Saccharomyces cerevisiae S288C: one gene and its partners. Changing the gene in region 3 together with the main gene of any one other region gives a genetic interaction. Each region holds a gene or a part of one and is shown on either strand. Other genes may lie near its edges. The genes, in order: TUB3, SEM1, HTZ1 and UME6.

Region 1 (5,092 bases), on a different chromosome or scaffold from region 3:
ATGAAGAGAATGGGTAAACTCCACAGGATTTTCAATTCACCAGACATATACGTGGTGATTGCAACACCAACAACGAATAGCGCGGCAGGAATATAGATCCCGTGGACAGGTTCGTCTAGAATGTTAGTTCCTTCTATGTCTTCTTTTGACATTTTCTTCACGCGGTTCTTGGAGTGCTTCCTTTTTTGTGATAAGTTTGGGTGGCAACGAGATGAGCTCAAAACTCTTTGTTTTTTATGGGTATTTTTGTCTTAGAATATTTTCAAATTTTTCAATATTCCGCGGAACATAGGGAAAAAAATAAATTTAATAAGCTATTGTTCTAACTGTACACCTAAAGGTAAGTGAAAAATAATTCGATAATTAGAGGTATCTTTATTTGGATAGAATATGCATATATATATATAAGCGTATATATATATATATATATATATGTATATACATATGGACATTAAGTAAATATAAATCTATAAGTGGGTATCGGGATCAGAGCCACTTTCTTAGAACTCCTCAGCGTAAGAATCGGCACCCACTTCAATATAATCTCTTTCTAAGGCAGCTAAATCTTCTCTAGCTTCGGTGAACTCACCTTCTTCCATACCTTCACCGACATACCAATGGACGAAAGCACGTTTGGCATACATCAGGTCGAATTTCTGATCGATTCTCTTCCAAGCGTCCGCGATGGCAGTGGTGTTGGATAGCATGCAGACAGCTCTATCCACATTGGCTAATTCGGAACTTGGTATCACACTTGGTGGCTCATAACAAATACCAATCTTAAATCCTGTTGGACACCAATCCACCATTTGTACTGTTTTTTTATTCTTCACCTGTTCGACGGCTCTTTGGACATCTCTGGTCACCACGTCACCTCTGTATAACAAACAGTTAGCCATGTACTTCCCCTTTGTTGGGTCACACTTAACCATTTGATTGCCCGGTTCGAAACAAGCGTTTGTGATTTCTGACACGGAGTTGGATTCATGGGTGGCCCTCTTCTTGGACAAGATGGGTGCGTAGGAAACCAAAGGGAAATGAATTCTTGGATATGGTACCAAGTTGGTCTGAAATTCGTTCAAATCCACGTTTAATGAACCATCGAACCTCAAAGAGGCTGTAACAGATGATATCACTTGGGCAATCAACCCGTTCAAGTTGCTGAAGCTTGGTCTAGAAATTCCCAAGTTCCTCTTGCATATATCGTAAATGGCTTCGTTATCGACCATAAACGTACAGTCTGCGTGTTCCAGGGTGGTATGCGTGGTTAAAACCGTGTTGTAAGGTTCCACGACGGAAGTAGACAATTGAGGCGCAGGATAAACGGCGAATTCCAATTTGGATTTCTTCCCGTATTCATACGATAAGTTTTCTAATAACAGGGAACCTAAACCGGAACCAGTTCCACCACCGAGGGAGTGGGTGAACAAGAACCCTTGTAAACCGTCACATTGGTCGGCCATCTTTCTAATTCTTTCTTCAACTTCATCCACTATTTCTCTACCCACTGTATAATGGCCTCTTGCGTAGTTATTGGCGGCATCTTCCTTACCGTTAATCAATTGTTCTGGATGGAAAAGCTCCTTGAAACGTCCTGTACGTACTTCATCGATAACATTGGGCTCTAAATCCACGTAGATTGCTCTTGGGACGAATTTTCCGTACCCCGTTTCATGGAAGAATGTAGAAAATCCTTCTTCACCTCCCTTAGGTTTTGACAAGCCATCCTCCAAATGGCCGTCTTCCTTGATGCCATGCTCTAGGGAGTACAATTCCCAGCATGCATTACCTATTTGACAACCTGCTTGACCAACTGTTGTAAAAAAGAAAAATAACAAAAGTTCCAGCAATCCTCCGAAGAAGAAGACACAAAAATCACTCCCCATGTAATGAGGTCAATTATGAGCTTTTTCGTCCGAGTATGCCCAGAAAAAATGGAGAAAAAGAAACTGTTAGTAAACTGTGCTGGTACAAGTCAAATTATTTGCCGTAAATCAACCAGATGGTGACCAATTGGGAATGAATCAAACCAGATCAGATCAAACTTCTTTCCCTGTCCCACAGGTGCCATTGGTTGCGAATATTGAACAAAAAAAGGAACGCATACATACCATTAATACTAATGACCTCTCTCATTGTCTCAAGTCGCTTGCTTAGTCGATTAATGTACTTTATGAGATACCTGATCTGTGTTTATATTTCTTTTAGATGTGCAATTTGTAAAACGTTTCGTGGTTTCCAGAGGCTCGAGAAATGATATGTCGGGTAACGTCTGGAACTAAAAAAGAAAGGACGATATGCTCTGCTCTGGCACCAGCCAACAGGATGGCAGAGAGATGTGAGGAAATAATGAAATTAAAAGAAATTATCGAATAAATATGTAACCTGACAGTATTTATAGATTATGTAAGGGGTTTGATAATAAGTTTATAAAAATGTTTTTGTATTATTTGTTCTAGTTTACAAGTTTTAGTGCATCTTTGAGGCTTTTATGCTTCATGTTGAAGTTGAGATGGGCTGGAAGATTCAATGTCATTATTCTTGTTTCTGAAGTTTAGCGTAGCAGGATCGATTTCATCGTGGTATAGCTCGTTAATTTCTTCTAGAGTCTTTCTCTTAGTTTCTGGGATCAACAAGGTTGTGAAGATACCCAACAACATGAATAAGGCGAAAATTTCCATGACGTGAGGTAACCAACAGTTGGTTGGCTTACCGTCTCTAGCACAGTTATGGTCGATTAGAGTACCCAAAGCGGTTTGTGCAATAATGGCACCGACCTTACCAGATGCAGCAGAAATACCATGAGCAGTAGATCTGTAACGAGTTGGGAAACACTCACCAGGAACAATAAAGGTGGTTGTGTTTGGACCGAAGTTTTGGAAGAATTGACAAATGACGTAAAGAGCCAACAGACCATGGTCACCAAGTTTATGGTATGCGAAACCGATGACACAGAACAAAGCGGTCAAGATGATGAAACCGGCTAATTGAATTGGTTTTCTACCGATTATATCGACAGTGAAGACGGATACCCAGTAACCAGGTAATGAACCAGCACAAATCAAAATCAGATTACCGACAGCAGTATCATACAGTTTCTTGTAAACGTTTTTGGAACCGGCATAACCGATGGTTTGCAGAATAACAGCACTGTTTAAACTCAACCCGTAGAAAGCAACATCTAAGGTAAACCATGAACCAGCAGTACCTAGCAAAATCTTACCGTACTTCCATTGACCAAAATGTCTGCAGAAATCTTTGAACGAAGCCTTTGGAGGATGATTGTCAAGAGATTCGACGGCAGTAGAAGCTCTTTCCAAACCGTTAATTGCCATGTCTTCATCACTGGTGTCGTGAATTTTCTTTTCGCCATCTTGTTCTTGTGCGGCAGCAGCAAGTTCCAACTTAGCGTTAACATCCAATTGATATCTAGGAGATTCTGGAATAGTTAATCTGAAATACAAACATGCCAACCCTAGAACGGTACCCAACCCAATAAGGATTCTCCACATTTGGTCACAAGCCTTTTGACATCTAGCATCACATTCAGCACCAGAGTTTGCGTATTCTAGTTCGCCCTTGTAAGCAGCAACCAAGATAAGAGCGATGATACCACCGGAGATTTGACCCCAAGCTTGGTTAGCAAAGACAGCACCCATGATGGCACCTCTCCATTTGGTAGTGGCAAATTCAGAAGTAATAATAGAAGATAGTGGGTAGTCACCACCGATACCAATACCCATGACAATACGGTAGAATGTTAAAACAGCAACGAAGTTAATAGCAGGAGAATGAGCAACAGTGGTTTGCAGAATGGTACAGACAATCATGATAATAAGTTCCATACCATAAATTCTCTTACGACCAACAATATCAGCTAAAGTACCAAAACCAAATTGACCAATAACAGTACCAACAGAAGTGGAAACCTTCAACAAGGTTTGACTTGGACCTGGCATACTACCGTGCCAGTAAACGTAGGACATCATAGTGATACCCAAATTAATGGCAAAAATATCATAAGAATCTGTCAAGAAACCAACACCAGCAATGGAGATGGTCTTAACTTGTTGCCAACCGAAACCTTCGTCATCGATGGACTCCAAAGCCAATCTTCTTCTTTCCAGAGGATCTTCAATATGAGCAAAATCATTCAAATGGTTGTGGAAGGCCATGTTACCACCTTCGGTAAGGTGTTCTTTATGAAGACTTCTTTCAGCAACATGAATAGTATCTTTATTGACGGAACTCATTTGGATTGTATTCGTGGAGTTTTGTTTGTTGTGTGCCCTGGTGATCTACGAGATGAGGAAAGATAAAATTTAGAAGTGAACTTAGAACTTTACTTTATACAAGAGATGAGGATGAGCTTATATATATACGTATACGAGCCACAATAGTAAGTGGATCTAAGTTGGCATTACCGGTGTGCAATGTGGTTGCATCATGCTGCCAAAAAGGAATAATAATTAGCTCATAGATGAGGTCGGTTAATTAATGAGTAATACGCACGTTTTTAATCTAGCTAATAAGCAGGCAAAACGGGAGAAGAGGGATAAGGAAAGCCTTTCACACGACATTTGGTGCATAACTGCACCGATCTCACTGATTTCGATGGACTGCGGCGAACCATAATCAATTGCCGTCGCTAATTTCCGCCCCACGTGCTGGAAATAACACGTCCACGTGGAACTATTAAATTGGCATCGGGCGGTGCGGCAGTGAGAGGAACGGGTGTTTTTCAGCCGGGCAACATTTTCTTCATAGCCGCTAGATGAGTTGAAAGGGCCCTTACGAGCAAATGCTGCACGTATAGGGCGCCTATAACAGCACCAACGTGCGTAATACTGATTGCTGTCATTTCTTGGCATGTTTTCTTGGTCAAGGTCTGTGATCTCCCCTTCCGGTTGTGTCTTTTCATAATAATATGGTTTTTTTATTCATAATTTGGTAATAACGGTTGATAAACGAGCGGCTGATAAATTAGTTTCTTTTTTTTTTTAATTTTTTTTTTTTTTGATCTCATTTCTTTTTTTATTGAATCTTTTTTTTTTTGTAAGAAAATTAAGGTTTATTAGGCAGAGTATACCGA
Region 2 (5,179 bases), on a different chromosome or scaffold from region 3:
CTTTTTTGTATTTTGTCTTATTTACGAGGGAGTACTGTGTCCTTGCTAGAGATGAGGTAAAAAAAAAATCTTGAAATTTTTCCTTTATTTTTGGCCAAATAGTGCAACAAACACGGCATGTACTTTGAAGAGCAGATGAAATGGGTTTAGTAGACGGTTATGACACAAGCTCAGACTCTGATTTGAACTTCGACGAAGGCAAATCTGTTCATGAAAAGAAAAATGGTAATTTGCATGAAGATACTTCGTATGAACCTTCTTCAAATAATATTCATAAGAGAAAATCACATTTTACAAAGTCAGAACTAAAAAGAAGACGGAAAACTCGCAAAGGAGATGGGCCGTGGGGCAGTTGGTCAAGTAGTGACGATGAAACTTCACAAGCCAGCGAAACTCAGAAAGAAGATCAGGATATCTTCGTGCACGCGCTGGCTGAGGACAACCTAGATTCGGAACAGATAGAGGTAGAGGAAGTCTCCCATTTTTATGGTAAATCAGAAAAGGACTATCAAGGCAGAGGATATTTATATCCACCAAATGACGTCGATGTTGATCTTCGTGAGGAAAGGATATCCTTTCGGTGTTACTTACCAAAAAAAGTTATACGTAATTATCCGGGGCATCCAGAAGGAACCACTGCCCTGAAATTCTTACCTAAAACTGGACACTTAATTCTCTCTGGTGGTAATGATCATACTATAAAAATTTGGGATTTCTACCATGACTATGAATGCCTACGAGATTTTCAAGGTCATAACAAGCCTATTAAAGCATTACGATTCACCGAAGACTGTCAATCTTTTTTGAGCTCTTCCTTTGATAGAAGCGTTAAAATTTGGGATACTGAAACTGGTAAAGTGAAAACCAGGTTGCACCTTAATTCAACGCCTGCAGATGTTGAATCTCGGCCCACTAACCCACATGAGTTCATTGTAGGTTTATCGAATTCGAAAATATTACATTATGATGATCGTGTTTCAGAAAATCAAGGTCTTGTGCAGACATATGATCATCACCTAAGTAGCATTCTGGCTCTCAAGTATTTTCCCGATGGTTCGAAGTTTATTTCTTCTTCAGAGGATAAGACGGTAAGAATTTGGGAAAATCAGATCAATGTACCAATAAAACAAATAAGTGACACGGCTCAACATTCTATGCCATTTTTAAATGTACATCCGTCTCAGAACTATTTCTGTGCACAAAGCATGGATAATAGAATATATTCTTTCAGTTTGAAACCCAAATATAAGAGGCATCCAAAAAAGATATTTAAAGGGCATTCATCTGCTGGTTATGGGATAAGCTTGGCTTTTTCTGGTGATGGTCGTTACATATGTTCAGGCGATTCAAAAAGCAGACTATTTACTTGGGATTGGAATACGTCGCGCTTATTAAATAACATCAAGATTCCAGGCAACAAGCCTATAACTCAAGTGGACTGGCATCCTCAAGAAACAAGTAAAGTCATTTGCAGCGGAGCGGCAGGTAAGATATATGTATGTGACTAGCTATTCACTCGGAATGTTACTTGAAACAAATTAAATGGTTACATGGATGTGATTTGTTACTTAATTGTTATTACGGATGATATTATTATGATAGTAAAAATGACAATAATAAAGAAACGATTGGGGTTACCTGAAATTGCAAGTACTAGTTCGAGGACACATTTGCATCATATGGTAGAAAGAGCGGATCTTAATATAGTTAATTTTTTAAACTGAGACTGCATTTAAAGAAATGAGAAATCTCAGCTGAGTTATTTAATACTTTGCGTGCATCATTATTATACTACAAGGCCATATAATCGACTACCGCATAGCCTTTCGTATCTCTTTTTATTATTTATTTTATCATCTAAGCAAAATATACTAGTATGACAACAATGTACTAAAGTAACATTAGACGTATAATTTCCTTTTGCGTTATTTAGAAATAATGTTATGTAGCCCCTCACTGATTTTCCCGTTTGTATCTATCCAATTCGGCCTTCAATTCATTGGTGAAATCGTCGTCAACTTCAACATCATCCCAGTTTTCTTCCCATATGTTTGTTTGCGTTACAGCATTGCTTTTTATTGTTTCACCATTGGCCCATGTGTCAATGGGGAAATCTTCAAATTCATCGTCTTCCTCTAGAGACTTCTTATTTATTTCCTCATTTTTTTTTTTTGTTAAATCTATTTTACTTTGGGCTTGTGCAGCAGCAACGTCCGTACTCATATTTTTGCGTATTTGTACTATTATTCGACTTTTATTGCCACTCTATTCACTTTATGCATAGGTAGGTTTCCATTAGGACTTTAAAAGGTAACGCCCACCACGTTCGCCACCCATAGCACTAGTTTCGTAAATAATGATAATATAATGGATCCGACAGAACTAAGAAGCTTTCAGCCCTTCAAAATCCCTACTAGTAGGTTACAAAGACATGAGGAAATGTTGATATAATTTTTATTGTTTTCTTTAGAAGGTTAGTTTTAAACACAAACCCGAAAAAAAATTTATAACATTTTGAATGTGTTATTAGCCCTGTAGGGGGCTCGAACCCCTAACCTTATGATTAAGAGTCATACGCGCTACCGATTGCGCCAACAAGGCTATTTATTTGTGACCTTTTAAAGGTTAAAAAGGGATAATACATATAATTTCTCAATATCAAGATGCATCATCATGTATTAAACTGAGAAATAAGTGAATTCTATGAATATTGAGATAGGGTTGGGATTGCATTGTTGGAAAACAATATTTGGTTATCAATTCTTGCTTTTCAACTTCTACTAAAAATGGTAACTGCTTGTCAATCTTTATGTCAACTTCTTAGGTTGTATATGATAGTTTACTAATAATATGAACGTTAGTCGGGTATATGATGGTTGATTCTTATTCCAACAATATCAAACACATCAGTAATTTTCAATCACTTTAAAATATATTGATATAAACCTTTTTTCCATATAAATGTATTCACATTTTTTGCATCCATGATCACTGTTGGTAAAGTACGCCCTATTTATAGAAATACGTAAATAAGGAGCAATCGATAAAGCATGTAGACCAATATAGTGTTGAGATATTTGTCGGATCCCATCTTGGTGTAAGTAATAGTACTATGTGTAACAATAGTGGGTGAAAGCCATTCTTGATGGTTTAGAGTTCAAAAAAGAAAATCAACAATTCTGCACAGTACCATATTTATTATTTTTCTTCGTTTTCACCTAATCACTCATTGATGCAGTTACACTACCAATTCTTGCCCTTCAAATCACCTTAAAGGATGATGGCTTGAATTTTATTTTCTGCTGATCTCGTAATTTATACAACCTTTTAGCGTTGATATCATAATATTATGATGAAACGAATTATTTTAATTGACTGCTGTAGCAACAATAGAGAAGTAGTTTACCTCTTGTTCCAAGAAAACTATAGCCGAGGAAATATCAAATTGTTTTGATAGTTGTTCTACGTTAGATGTACTATTCAAACCTAGCACGAAAAAGCTGAAGAGATTTTTGTATTCATTAGGCGATCAAATTTTTATAGAAAAGCGTTAACATGTTGAGTTAGAGATGGAAAAATTCCTTTATAATATTTCACGGAAGGTAGAAGAGGGTCAGCACCTACTTTTTGAACAGAGAATTACCCGAGTATGATTTAAACACAAAAGGTCTTATTCAATTATATTCAGAAAATATTTTACAAGTACCGCAAGCACCACCAACACACCCGCCGCCCATAGTAAATAATAATTGTGGCACGTAAAGAGCCGGAGTTCGGCCTTTTTTAGCAAATTGCGCTCAATCAATAATGACATCAACCATGTCTTCATCTTCCATATCCTGATCGGCTATACACTCATTCATGTCCAATTCATCATGATCAAAAAGTAATTTAACCCTCGTCTTTTGTGGTAACTGTTTCTGGATTCTGTAATATTCGGCAATTTTAGAAAATGGTGTTGAACGCCTAACATGGACATAGATTTTTTTGTTATCTTGACCCATGAGAGCGATTCTCATAACTTCTTCCATGCTACTACTATTTCCTGACAAAGAGCCACCCTCTTGCAGAAGTTTTGTATTCATAACTGTATCATTTTCTTTTATTTCTTGTGTTTCTTCTACGTTTTTTAATTCGGATTCAAACTCGCGATATTCGGACTCTTCTTGTTCATTTCTCTTTTTCTCTAACTTCCTTTCCATCTCCTGACGTTCTTTTATGAGTAAAGCAGCTTCTTCTTCCTTTAACTTTGATTCCAGTGTCGCTTCAAAGTTCTTTTCGTATTCTTTGGATACGATAGTAACATCGATATCAGAGACTTCATTTTCAAAATCCTGTGGGATATGTAGCGAATTACAAGTCATAAAAGTGAGTAATTTTGCATTGTTCCAATAAAGAGTAACATTCTCTACCTTGTATATATCTTTCATTACCTTCGGAATTTTATAGGACTTCATCAATCCGTCCAAAGCAGCAGGAAGTATTTTTGAAAATTCGTATTTTCCGAGGACCTTCACTTGGACCGCTTTATTTATAGTTCCTTCTAGCTTAGAGAGAAATTTGATGTTATAAACTCGCTTCCGCTGGTCGGGTGTCGATTCTTTAGAAATAGTGGTGCTTTTTTTGGCTTCTTTAGCAAGTTCCTTGAAAAAGTCATCGTTTTCATCATAGGTATACAGTAATGAACTTTTCTGTCGCTTGTATTTTCCCGCTGGAGATATTGATCTTATGCTTGACCTGGACCTTGACCTAGATCTGGGAAAATTTTTGTCTTCGTCTAAGTCAGATTCAGATGAGTTTATTTCAACTACAGACTCTTTCATCACAGATCTTCCTCTAGTTCGACCCGATGGTTTGTCTGGCTTGGGCTCCGTAATATCTTCTATATTTACATTTTTACTAGATGATCTGCTCAGGGACTGATGTTGTTCCTTTGCGTCGCTATCTTCACTATCAGATAATGTTAGAGTTGAATGCTTTGATGGCGGTACCGTGACTTTAGAGTCAACTATGACACTTTGCCTATTACTTTCATCGCTATGATCGATTTCATCTATATCATAGGAATTGTCCATAAAGAAGTCATCGCTGTTTTCATCAGAAAAACTTGTATTATCTGGATCTAGATTAATTGAGGGTTCGCTGATGCTTCTGGAATCACCGGTCATCTGTTAACAGC
Region 3 (5,019 bases):
GCTTTTTTTTACGGGTGATTCTTTTTTTATTGTATTTTTCCACCACGAACCGTAGATGGCTTATTGCATTTCTACATGAAAGAATAGTAAATGTGTAGCCTTTGTTACGTGAATAACTTACTTATCCAAGTATTAAAAGAATTTTGGACCAGATTTCTTCTTCTATTACTATCCCTCTAATTGAAATATGAGTGATTTTGAGATAATTGTTGGAATTTCATCGTTGTTACAGGTTATAATATTAAATATACAAAATATGCTGGAAGTTCTTCTTGAGTATATAGGAATTCACAAAAGGAGAGTCGATATATCTACATATTATGATAATGTTTACTTCTTCTTCCATTTTATATGTTATCATTTATTATCCTATTGCATTATCAACCTTAGGATTTCTGCTTCCTTTATATGTGATAGCTGTTCCTTAATCATTATGTCACCTTCCTATGCCGTATGTGATAATATACTAGTAACATGAATACCAATAATAAGTGGATGGTACTAGAATTACATTTCAACATAGGCTGAGTTGCTTTGGAAGGCCATGATGTGTATTATAAATTCTGAGTCTTTTCATGGTTCTCAGAAAAGATCGGGCGTGTGGTCTAGTGGTATGATTCTCGCTTTGGGCGACTTCCTGATTAACAGGGGGACAAAGCATGCGAGAGGCCCTGGGTTCAATTCCCAGCTCGCCCCCTTTTTTACTATTGAAAAGTATTCGGTCAGACGTAGCTGATCGATGTAGCATGTGTACGCATTTCTAGATATCGAGTAATTTCCGCTGATGTATAATATATATATATGTGTGTGTGTGTGTGTTTTTCATCCAGTAGTTTTTTTCTTTAAAAAAAACTATGTATAATATAAAACATGCAATCTAGATATGCTGGATAAATTTATCTGGTATGACAATTTTCTTGGCAATTTGCTCGCCCCCGTCTCCATGCAGAGAATTTACTTCGTGATTTTCTATTGTTAATTTGACAGGAATACCATTTTCTTTCTCATCTGAATTTGTGATCAAAAATTCGTAGGCTGATCGGCTTGACCCAACAGAATTATCACCAGTTTTATGTAATGGGAACGTATACCACGTAGGAGATGGTGTAGAGGTTGACCTTGTTCTCATTGCTAATGTGTCTATATTTTGAGTAGGCACTATCCTTATATCAGGGGAAGTTGTTCTTGTGGGAAGTAGATCTACTTCGTTTGCGAAACCTTGTTGATCTGTCGCTATCCCAGTGCTATCTGTTACGGTGGTCTGTGTCGTGATATCACTATTGGAAGTGAAAGTCGTTTGCACAACATTACCTTTTTCATCAAAGACAGGCAATCTACAAATAGGACAAGTCTGAGAACGTTCCATCCAATTCTTTAAACACGACAAATGAAGTATGTGGCCACAAGGTAACCTTTTGGGTTTCTTGTTTTTATTCTTCCACGTCTGCTGGTTTGGAGAATGTATTAACTCATCCATACAAATGATACAAATATTGTCATCATTTGCAGAATTTTGTAGCTGTTCTACGGTGACAGTGACAAGAGTGTCGTCGAGCTGTTTGTTATTTCTCCAGATTTTCCACAAACTTGTGCCACTTTGATATAGTGCCAAGATATCCCACACCACATCTTTCAAAAGCATCATAGGCATCCTAAATGGTATTAGCATAGACAAATGAAGTGCCGTTTTTAAGAATCTTGTGAATACGTCAATTGCTTTTTCATACATGAATTTACCCTCCAGGCCGGTAAATTGTCTATCATCATCGTCGTCATCGTCGTCGTCATTCAGCACTGGCTGAGATTGATCAGACTCAACCGTGTTTTCATCTGTAGGATCGCCATGGACAATATGGTTGTTCTCATTAGACAGACTTTGTTGTGAGCGATAAAATTCCCAGAAATTCAAACAAGTCTGTAGGAATAAATTTAGCAAATCAATCAAAAGCATGGTAAACTCCATTACTTGTATCAGGTAAAGGGATGTGGATTCAATATCACTCTTTTGGTTTGTATATATGGAGGAGATGCATCGTGTTATTATCTGGTAGTCTACAACCGCCAATAGTACGAGGTTAAATGAGAATCTACTAAAGATAAGGGTTTTCATTGTGGTGGAATCATTTATTGACTGTAATAAGGCCTCCAGCCTATCCTTTAAAATCCAATGGAAAACTTTCAGATAGAGTAGTAATAGTCCAAAAAATGCCACTGTGAAAAAATACCGTTCGTGGAACAGTGAGGACATAAACAAGGTGTTTATAATGGTAAATGGTAACCTTTCAAAAATGTGCTCATGCTCAATAAGCCTCAGTTCACCAAATAATAGTTTCGTTAGGAGTTGCCATAGTAAGGTAGAATTTAATAAGATGAATATCGACAAAACCATTAGATTGAAGCCTTCATTTAGCTTCAGTGTTACTTGCAAAAAGGAAACGCTTGTCTTGGTGGCTGAATACACGCAATAAAATGTGAGCAAATATGTGACAACTACAAAAATTGCCAACTGTTTCCTTCTATTTTCTGGCACCATATTATTATTTTGTCTTTCTCCCCTTCTCTTACAAATTGCAATTGATAGATGATTTTCTGGTTATAAAAAGGAACCAACAAATCGGTAGAAAGTCGACAGTATAACTAGTGGTGAAGCTGTTATTAGAAATGGTAGGGGGGTTTTTTTTTTGTCCTGTCGGCACGTATGGAAATTTATCGTCTATTAAACCTTTTCTTTGATTTGATTTCTACAGTGTACTTTTGTAGGTGTCCTTAATTTCCATTTTTCCGGGTATGCAAAGTTCAACAAAAAGAAAGCCCTGACCAAATTTCTGCGTACATAACGGCTACTGCGCTATCGTTGGGAATATTGTGTGAGAGTATATTTTCATGCTATATATTATAGTAAAAACATAAGAGATTAGACGTGAAAGGAGAGATAGATTACATATATGTATGTATATAACTCGGGTACGGAGAGACAAATTTCAACTTATAATAATGATACAGACGTTAATATGGATAGAATGAGGATACAGGAGCAGGGAGAATTACGGGAAATGGGAAAGAAAAACTATTCTTCTTATTTCTTACTTCCCTTTTTTTCCACTTTCAATAATAATGCTTTATTTATATGAGGCAAAACACCACCTGAAGCAATTGTAGCCCTGATCAAAGAATCTAACTCATCGTCACCTCTAATGGCCAATTGCAGATGTCTTGGGGTAATCCTCTTGACTTTAAGATCCTTGGCTGCATTACCAGCCAACTCCAGCACTTCAGCAGTCAAATATTCCAACACAGCAGTCAAATAAATGGCAGCTTTGGATCCTACTCTTGTTCGGCCGGTAGCGTGCCTTTTCAGGTAACGCTTAATCCTACCGACAGGAAACTGCAAGCCAGCCCTTGCTGAAGAAGATTGAGATCTCAATGAACCACTGTCTTTAGCGCCGGATTTACCTTTACCTCCATGAGCTTTTCCTGACATTATGTTAAGTTATTTTTACGTGCGGCTATAGTGCGAAATTGAATTTAACGATATTTTTTCCGACTGAAGTATAATAGAGTCCGCAGTGTTTTTTAGTTGGGGGTTGTGACTCTATTACACTGGATAATAGTTCAGCTGTTAAATAGAGCTGTATGCTTTATTTGTTGTTTTTTTTGTTTTGTTGTTTTCGTGCACGGAGCGAGCGCGGCGGGTTACGGAACACCAGCGGCCAGTTCTACGAGTAGTAAGTTACGGGCGTAAAGTTACTGTGTGCTAATCTAGCATGGATGCATTCAGTAAACCTTTTCAATTGAGTCTAACGTTCTCTAAAGAAAGAAGAATACTGCTATTTTAGGTATGTGCTTACTACCGCTTGTGCGGACCTGCCCTGATTCCAAGGTAAGAGACAGTGATTCTTGTCCTAAGCTCTTTTCTCCGGGGCGGGCGGGCGGCTGGCAGACATATTGATTGCGGGTAACACCTCCGAGGTTAATTAATCAAGCAACGTGCGGAGTTTTATCACATGGATGTTTCTTATCACCGGGTGCGCGCCACGCAATATATAAAACGGTAAACATACGCTGTTGCAAGGCAAGACACAACAGCGGCAAACACTTCAGAGAATACAGACGATAGTCATCAGCACTCCTAATAATCGTATAATGAATACTATACGAAGCTTTGTGCGTTGCAAAAAGAGCATACCAGGCGAAGAGAGCGCAGTTAGTAGGTGATCGGGAAATTGCTGAGTACAGTTGTTTGCCTCCTGTGATACCGCGTCACATGACCATTTAAAAGTGTCCATAATGTCATCGGTAACGTCACACTCACATGAGTTTTCCTGACTTCAGCCTCCTTCATCTCGCGTTAATACGCCAGCATCGCGCACCATATTACTGCCCGCGTAATCCAATTCCTCCTTTCGTTCTCAATGACTAAAACGCAAATCATTTTTCCTTTTTTTTTGAAACCGGTGGACGCCCCATAGAACTTCCAAATCAGGAAATACCGCAACTTCATCCGTTTTCGTTTCGCTTTAGTCCTCCACGAAAATATCTTGCCGGTTCCGCGAATGTTGTACTGGTTCTTCTGTGCAATGAGCCTTTTTCTCTTCTTTCTTTTTCCCTGCTTTTAAGATGGCTTGGCTATGGAATTACTCAATTTGGCACTTCTTTTGCAAGATCCAGACTTGCAGGGATTCTATCACCATTATTACCACACTACTATGTTATTGTTACGCTTTTCATCCACTTTTATATAAGTTATACGTGGTTTTACGAGTTCTAATATTTCACTTTTCAGCTTGGAATACGCCGTTTTAAGAGGACTAAAAGCAAGGAAATTACACACATAATAATATAAGTAATGATACGTCCATTATGTTCAAAAATTATTATCAGTTACATATTCGCAATTTCTCAGTTTCTACTGGCCGCTAATGCGTGGTCGCCCACAGATAGTTATGTTCCTGGCACCGTGTCGTGTCCCGATGACATAAATCTGGTAAGAGAGGCTACGTCTATATCTCAGAATGAGAG
Region 4 (7,579 bases), on a different chromosome or scaffold from region 3:
AGAATTTTATTTCCTGGGCCTTTTTGGGTCTGTTTGGTCACCTACCAGTTGGAGAGATGATACAAAACCTAACCAATTAAATAACGGTATCAAGTTAAGGCATTTGGAAAATGCACTCTACGAGACGATGTCAGCAAGATACCTGAATAATATTAAGACCATCTTTCACAATTTGATCATTACAATTGGTGGGTTCCATCTATTATTAAAAAGGCGTTCCGATGTAAGTGCAAAAACCTTGAAGGATTTACGTAGCAATGAATTGGATTACCTAAATTTTGCATTCAAGTATATTGCTCACATTTTAAATGATATCGTTAAGGAATCATGGAGCGAAAATCCTGAGGTTTCAGAAATTCTAGGTATGGTAAGAATTATCAATTGTTGGATAAAAGCAAATCCCATGGTTCTTCAATATTCACAAAGTAATCTAGAGTTTGTTAATGCCTTGGCATACTTGATAAATGATATTGTGAAAAAAAAACCAAGTCCTTCTTTTAGTATAACAGAACATATTCCTAAAAGGACATACTGGTTCGAAGAAGACTTAATGGTGAAGGGTTTATCATTCGTTAACTTTCAACTATCTGATTTTGACGATTATGAAAAAATTCTTGAAATGGATCATAGTCTCGATAGATTAATTGGTAATCCGCCATTATGCGACAAGTTATCGGCATCATCTGAAATGCTGTTAAGGTTGCAGGCTGTTGTGAATATAAGTTCGCAATTATTGCAGAACAACAACTGCGGAGTAGAATGGTCAGATAATAAATCACGTTATATCTTTAATAAGAAAATTGGATTTAAGGAGACCGTTAAAAATAGTATGAAGACATCGAAGCAATCCAATGAAAAGGCCAAGTTACAAAGAAAAAACAAACCTTCGACCACTAATGGCTCAATATCCATGGCGGATTTGGAGAGACAAATGAGAAGTAGCTCTTTGGATTCTTTTTCTCCAACTATGGGTTATAGTGGTTCGTCTGTACCTATGGCCCCAGATACGTTCAATGTTAAGCCCAGCGGTACAATAACGGGGAACAAAGTAAATGTAGAACTGTTAAAAATCGAACTAAGCGGTCAAAACGCCGATGGCGCTATTACGAATATATCTCCTGGTTACAGTAACGCAGCGATCTCTTCTTCAAATTCGACAGATGAATCATCCTTCGATTTGAACAACATCCTATCTTCAATGCAACAAAAGCACGCGGAAAAATCATTTGCCAAATCCATGCAAGGGGTGAATGAACAAATTCCAGCGAATGACGTCTGCCATCAAGCCCAGAGGCCAATGCAAGGTGGTCTGTATTCATCACAGCAACCTTCATCGATGTCTTCATTAAACTCCGCGTATCAGAATGCCTCGATGCCTCCATCTGCCTCCATGGTATCCTATCCCTATCCTTTTTTGAACCAGCAGGGGCAAGGGGTCTTTCCGCCTTATAATGCACAAAATTTACAATGGCAGAGCGAAGCTTACTCATTAAAGTCAATGAATTTTGCAAATCCAACGTGGCTAGGTGACCAGTACCAGACATCTGCGCCGTCGTCAGCATATGCGCAAGCGCAACGGCAAATGTTTCAACAACCTATGCAGCAAGATGTGGGGAAGTACATGCAATTTCCTTTTGACGCCCAAAGCAACACGGACAGCATGAGGGGAAACAGTCGGAATAATATGTTTTAATATTGTTCGTTTTTTATCATAGTTTTTCAAATCTTCATATGAATACTAGGTAGAAATTTGGCTTATCAGTACGAATGAATTACAGTTTGACTGATTTGTACACGAGAATTGACGTATAACTTCTTTTGAAAGTCTTTGAAATTACATGGTAGTACATACATATATATATATATATATATATGTTATATTATTGTTAATTAAATATTATTATGCGTATTTTCCTTTTCTTTATTAGTATAGTATTAATGACAGTAATAATAATAATAATAGTAACAATATCTCTTTTTTTTTTTCAGTGAGCTTTTATTTTTTTTTCATTGCTCTTCTTTTGGCCTCTTTTGTTTTTTTCTTGATTTCCTCCAGTTTCATCTGTTTTTTCTTTGGATCAGATACAAAATCTGGTTTGAACGCGTCATAGTGACAGTCCAATTTCAACCTTTCACAGTTGAAACAGTGCGGTCTTTCCTCGGTACACTTCTTTTTCCTTAATCTACAAATCCAGCAACCAGTACGGGACCTTGTACCTTGAGACGTTGAGGAAGTAGCATTATTCGATTCTTGAGAATTGTTTGCTTTTGATTTCGAAGTAGTATTATTTGGTCTTTTCTTTGATGACTGTTTCGCCTTTGATTTTGCCTTAGGCTTGACATTTTTTCCTTTAGATTTAGCGAAATCCGGCGAAGTAGCGTTAGGATAATCAGCGGTATATGCCAAGCCAGAAGAAGCCTTCAAAGATGGAGACGATGGAGCTGACGAAGTTGAGGATTCGCCAAGAGAATTATAATCGCTATTGGTTTGGCTTGCTACTCTTGCGTTTCCAACTGACCTTCTCGATTTTTTCAATGGTGGAACTTCCAGTTGCTGTTGTTGTTCTGGAGCAGAAAGGCGTCTGTCTATTCGCTTACCATTCTTATTCCAAGTAACTTGCCTTGTCCTTGACTCAAAAGTGGGATCTAAAACCTTTTTAGAGTTTAGATTTAAATGGTAAGGAGACAAGTCTTGATTTTGGTCCTGGTCTTCATCAAAAACAGCTGTAGAATTGTTGCTTTCGAAAATGGGTTGTTGTTCGGAATTATGGATACGTAACAGAATTGGTCTTAAGACACCCTTTGATGGAAAAGATGACGAATGAGGCCTACTAGCCGGCACACCGAGCGCATTTGTGTTATTCATGTCATTGACATTGGAAATGGGTTTATCATGAGTTCTATATGGGGATGATCTCATGTTTGATAGCACTGCTGCTGCTGTACCCAAGTCGTCGTCTAGTTTGGTAGATGAAGATGCAGAATTCGGACCGAGCAATAATCTTGATCTCAATCCATCCAATTTAGAATTGATGTATTTCGGTGGAGGTGGTGGGATGTATTGTTCATTTGTATGGAAGGGACTATTTCTATTGTTACGATTCGGCAAATCGCCGTAAAAAAACCCAGTAGAAGGTCTTGACGAAGTGGCAAACGGGTCTTCACCGCGATTGATATTGTTCCGTTGAGGGTTGTTGTTGTTTGTGCTTGTAAACGAAGATGCGGAAGTTGGAGGTTGAGAAGGTATTTGGTTGAACCTAAAATGCTGGAAATTGTTTCTGCTGGTAATGGAAGAGCTGGTGTTCGCATGTCGAGAGTTTGTAGGCGTATCCGTGTTTGAACTAGCATTGTTGGAGGATGATTCATTCAAAGAATAAGCCTCATCTCTGTATTTCGAATTTAGCCAGAACGATATGTTGATTTTTGATTCGTTCTCGTCCAGTTTTACATTTGGGTCTGTTATCTCTCTATCCTTGTTGAAATAGAAGTTCCTGGGCGCCACGCCCACGGCACATTGGTCATCATGCACATTATGCTGGACCTGAGAGTCGTTAGATGGACTGCCGCCGCGCTTAGTTCCGCCGCGCAAATACCCGCCAATCTCATTGTTATTAGAGGATTCTCTCGAATCTGAGCTTTGTATCGAATTATTGTCGTTGTTGTTGGTACTGTTGTTTCTGCTCAGTATCGACATAGGCGAATTGGTAGTCTTACCGTTGTTCTTGTTGGCGCTGGTAATGATGAGCGGCAAATCCGATCCTGTGCGGGAACGGATGCCCGAGCCCGTGCCCGCGCCCGAGCCTGCTGCGGTGGTACCGGGGGAAGAAACCGCTGGAGCTTGTGGTGGCGGCAAATGTATTTTTTTTTTGGCGCCGGCGACGATAGTAGTAGTGGCAGTGTTACTATTAGTGGAGGTGGAGGAGTAAGGGAAAACATCCTCGTTGGTTGCAGTATACTGCGGCTGAATAGCACCGGAAATTTGTGGGTCTGTAGCCTGTGCGACATGGCCATTGCACAATGACTTAGGATCCGAAGGTGTATTGGAAGGCGCGAGTGGGCTGGCGGCAGCATGCACAGCGTTATCGCTGTCACGGCGATCTTGAAGTGTAGTATTGGTCGTAGTAGTAGTATCGTTTTCCTTAGGATCGTCTTTGATATCTCCGCCACTTTGGACTTTCAAACTCGGCGAACCAGACGGAGTATGCACGGGAGTGTTGTTGGGCGCACATGTCGATTTCATAATAGAAAGCAAAGGGTTTTCATCGTAGGTTGTCTTGAGAGATTCGATGCTAGCACTGGAAATTGTAGGATGGCGGGAGTTAGCTCCATCACTAACTTCATCTTCTGCATGTTTTTTGCCGTCTTGGCTGCTATTCATCAGCGTGGCACGAGATGTTTTATTGTGCAAATAGTGATGATTGTTGGCGGTTGTTTCCATCGAAAGCAGAGAGGCAGCCGCATTAGATTCGTCCATGTGTTTGCTTTGAGAGCGCGCCTTGTCTAGCATCGTGAGTTAAGGTCCATGCAAATGGTTTGAGTGCGGTAGTGTCCTAGTTCCTGTGCGCTGTGCGAAGGTGGGCGCTTCTTACGATCACTGGTCTCTTGTCCTTGTCCTCTATGTTCTTTTCATTTTTCTTTTTGACGGCGGCAGTTTCCGCCTGGCATTGGTGAAAAGGCGCCTTGAAGCACGGCGGACGTGTCACCCGGACCGAAACAGAAGAGAAGTAGCGCAGTCTTGGCAATTATAGGATGCCCGAAATCCAACGTGCATTCTATTCTCGTGATTATTCTCGTGATTTCGTGTGCAACCAATGGACTTTAAAAACTGCGCTCTACTACTTGTAGCAATGCATGTTTTGGGCAAGTGGGGTTGAGTGGAGTGTCACCTCAGACGACGTGTCGCTTTTGTATATCCGTTTTTACGGACATAAGAACGTGCCGCCCATTCTGGGAAAACAAAACACAGGTTAAAAAAAAAAAGAAAGGAATGGATGGGGAATGGGACAGAGAGGAAAGATAGAGGTGGAAATAACAAAAGCGTGACAACAAAGAAGCAAATACGGAGGGACAAGCAAAGAAAAAACAAGGACAGAAACAAAAAATAGGAACAAGAAGTAGCACATTCATAAGCAAGAGAGTACGAAACCTGTTTACACCCCCCGAGACAGTTGCCCTATATCGCTTTTCCCTATCAATAGTTTCTAACTCATGTCAGTCTTGCGATCACAACCTCCTTCAGTTGTACCGCTACATCTGACAACATCCACCAGTCGCAAAACAGAACAGGAACCATCGCTATTGCACTCTGCAATAATTGAGCGACATCAAGACCGTTCGGTGCCGAATTCGAATTCGAATCCGGATTCGAACCATCGAATAAAAAAGGATCGCAATAATCACACTAGCTACCATTCTTCATCGAATTCGGAGTCAAACATGGAAAGTCCTCGCTTGTCAGATGGTGAGTCTTCCACTCCGACCTCTATTGAAGAGTTAAACCCAACAATAAATAATTCGAGGCTGGTGAAGAGAAACTACTCAATATCAATTGATCCTTTGCATGACAACAGCAATAATAATACGGATGATGATCATCCAAACACCATAACTTCTCCCCGACCAAATAGCACTAGTAACAAGGAAATGCAGAAATATAGTTTTCCCGAAGGTAAGGAGTCGAAGAAAATAACAACACCCTCGTTAAACTCGAATAATTGTTTGGATTTGGACAATTCCAGTCTTGTTCACACAGATTCGTATATACAAGACTTAAATGACGATCATATTTTACTAAACAAGCGCGTTTCGAGGCGATCTTCCAGAATATCGGCAGTAACAGCAACTTCCACGACAATTAAGCAAAGAAGAAATACTCAGGATTCAAACCTGCCCAATATTCCCTTTCACGCTTCCAAGCATTCTCAAATTCTACCTATGGATGATTCAGATGTAATAAAATTGGCCAATGGAGATACCAGCATGAAACCAAATTCTGCTACTAAAATTAGTCACTCAATGACTTCTTTGCCTCTTCACCCACTTCCACAACCTTCTCAAAAGTCAAAGCAATATCATATGATATCCAAATCAACCACTTCTTTGCCGCCAGAGAATGACCACTACTATCAACACAGTCGTGGCACCAACCATAATCACGCTGCTAATGCTGCTGCTGTTAATAATAATACTACTACTACTACCGCTGCTACGGGTCTGAAAAGATCAGAGTCTGCAACGGCAGAAATTAAGAAGATGAGACAATCTTTGCTGCATAAAAGAGAAATGAAAAGGAAAAGAAAAACATTTTTGGTGGATGACGATCGTGTTTTGATCGGTAATAAAGTCAGTGAAGGCCATGTCAACTTTATTATAGCTTATAACATGCTAACTGGTATTCGTGTCGCAGTGTCACGTTGTTCTGGCATAATGAAACCTTTAACTCCGGCAGACTTTAGATTTACGAAGAAGCTTGCCTTTGATTATCACGGAAATGAATTGACCCCTTCTTCTCAGTATGCATTTAAGTTTAAGGACTACTGTCCCGAAGTCTTTAGGGAACTTCGTGCATTATTCGGCTTAGACCCTGCTGATTATTTGGTTTCGTTAACTTCCAAGTACATTTTGAGTGAGTTGAACTCGCCAGGTAAAAGTGGTTCATTTTTTTATTATTCGAGAGATTACAAATATATTATCAAGACCATACATCATTCTGAGCATATTCATCTGAGAAAGCACATACAAGAATACTATAACCATGTAAGAGACAATCCAAACACTTTGATTTGTCAATTTTATGGTTTGCATAGAGTGAAAATGCCTATATCGTTTCAAAATAAAATTAAGCATCGGAAAATTTACTTCCTAGTCATGAATAACTTATTTCCACCACACTTAGACATTCACATTACTTATGATTTAAAAGGTTCCACATGGGGCCGTTTTACCAATTTGGATAAAGAAAGGTTGGCGAAAGATAGATCATATAGGCCTGTGATGAAAGATTTAAATTGGCTTGAAGAAGGTCAGAAAATTAAATTCGGTCCATTGAAGAAGAAGACTTTTTTGACACAGCTGAAAAAAGATGTGGAATTGCTTGCTAAATTGAATACAATGGACTATTCCTTGTTAATTGGCATTCATGACATCAATAAAGCTAAAGAAGACGACTTACAATTGGCGGATACGGCATCTATTGAGGAGCAACCACAGACTCAAGGACCCATAAGAACCGGTACCGGAACGGTAGTACGACATTTTTTTAGAGAGTTTGAAGGTGGAATTCGAGCATCTGATCAATTCAACAATGATGTGGATTTGATTTATTACGTGGGGATAATCGATTTCTTGACTAATTACTCAGTTATGAAGAAATTAGAAACGTTTTGGAGAAGTCTACGCCATGATACCAAGTTGGTGAGTGCCATACCTCCAAGAGACTACGCCAATAGGTTTTACGAATTCATAGAAGATTCTGTAGATCCTCTGCCCCAGAAAAAAACTCAATCGTCGTATAGAGACGACCCTAACCAGAAAAATTATAAAGACTGAGTAGGGCACAGGTAAATAACCTATCGTCTAT

What was found.
Region 1: mutations in HTZ1 (region 3) and TUB3 together harm fitness more than expected from each alone (negative genetic interaction), as found in Saccharomyces cerevisiae (9 studies listed by BioGRID, with this or other methods).
Region 2: mutations in HTZ1 (region 3) and SEM1 together harm fitness more than expected from each alone (negative genetic interaction), as found in Saccharomyces cerevisiae (8 studies listed by BioGRID, with this or other methods).
Region 4: mutations in HTZ1 (region 3) and UME6 together harm fitness more than expected from each alone (negative genetic interaction), as found in Saccharomyces cerevisiae (5 studies listed by BioGRID, with this or other methods).

Annotation. Positions count from the first base shown.
Region 1 is NC_001145.3:21,548-26,639, forward strand, and holds TUB3 (alpha-tubulin TUB3), read right to left. Parts: upstream 2,137-5,092; coding exon 2,112-2,136; exon of another isoform or gene 2,017-2,111; intron 1,814-2,016; coding exon 501-1,813; downstream 1-500. Other genes in the region: PGA3 (cytochrome-b5 reductase), read right to left, coding at 1-152; phosphate transporter PHO84, read right to left, coding at 2,490-4,253; YML122C (uncharacterized protein), read right to left, coding at 4,491-4,871. UniProt on the Saccharomyces cerevisiae protein: Tubulin is the major constituent of microtubules, a cylinder consisting of laterally associated linear protofilaments composed of alpha- and beta-tubulin heterodimers.
Region 2 is NC_001136.10:1,199,172-1,204,350, reverse strand, and holds SEM1 (proteasome regulatory particle lid subunit SEM1), read right to left. Parts: upstream 2,224-5,179; coding exon 1,954-2,223; downstream 1-1,953. Other genes in the region: CDC40 (Cdc40p), read left to right, coding at 141-1,508; ESC2 (Esc2p), read right to left, coding at 3,798-5,168. UniProt on the Saccharomyces cerevisiae protein: Versatile protein that might stabilize multiple protein complexes involved in diverse pathways. Subunit of the 26S proteasome which plays a role in ubiquitin-dependent proteolysis.
Region 3 is NC_001147.6:300,503-305,521, forward strand, and holds HTZ1 (histone H2AZ), read right to left. Parts: upstream 3,482-5,019; coding exon 3,077-3,481; downstream 1-3,076. Other genes in the region: E3 ubiquitin-protein ligase HRD1, read right to left, coding at 878-2,533; PLB3 (lysophospholipase), read left to right, coding at 4,847-5,019. UniProt on the Saccharomyces cerevisiae protein: Variant histone H2A which can replace H2A in some nucleosomes. Nucleosomes wrap and compact DNA into chromatin, limiting DNA accessibility to the cellular machineries which require DNA as a template.
Region 4 is NC_001136.10:863,016-870,594, forward strand, and holds UME6 (DNA-binding transcriptional regulator UME6), read right to left. Parts: upstream 4,508-7,579; coding exon 1,997-4,507; downstream 1-1,996. Other genes in the region: EBS1 (Ebs1p), read left to right, coding at 1-1,693; MSS4 (1-phosphatidylinositol-4-phosphate 5-kinase), read left to right, coding at 5,209-7,548. UniProt on the Saccharomyces cerevisiae protein: Component of the RPD3C(L) histone deacetylase complex (HDAC) responsible for the deacetylation of lysine residues on the N-terminal part of the core histones (H2A, H2B, H3 and H4).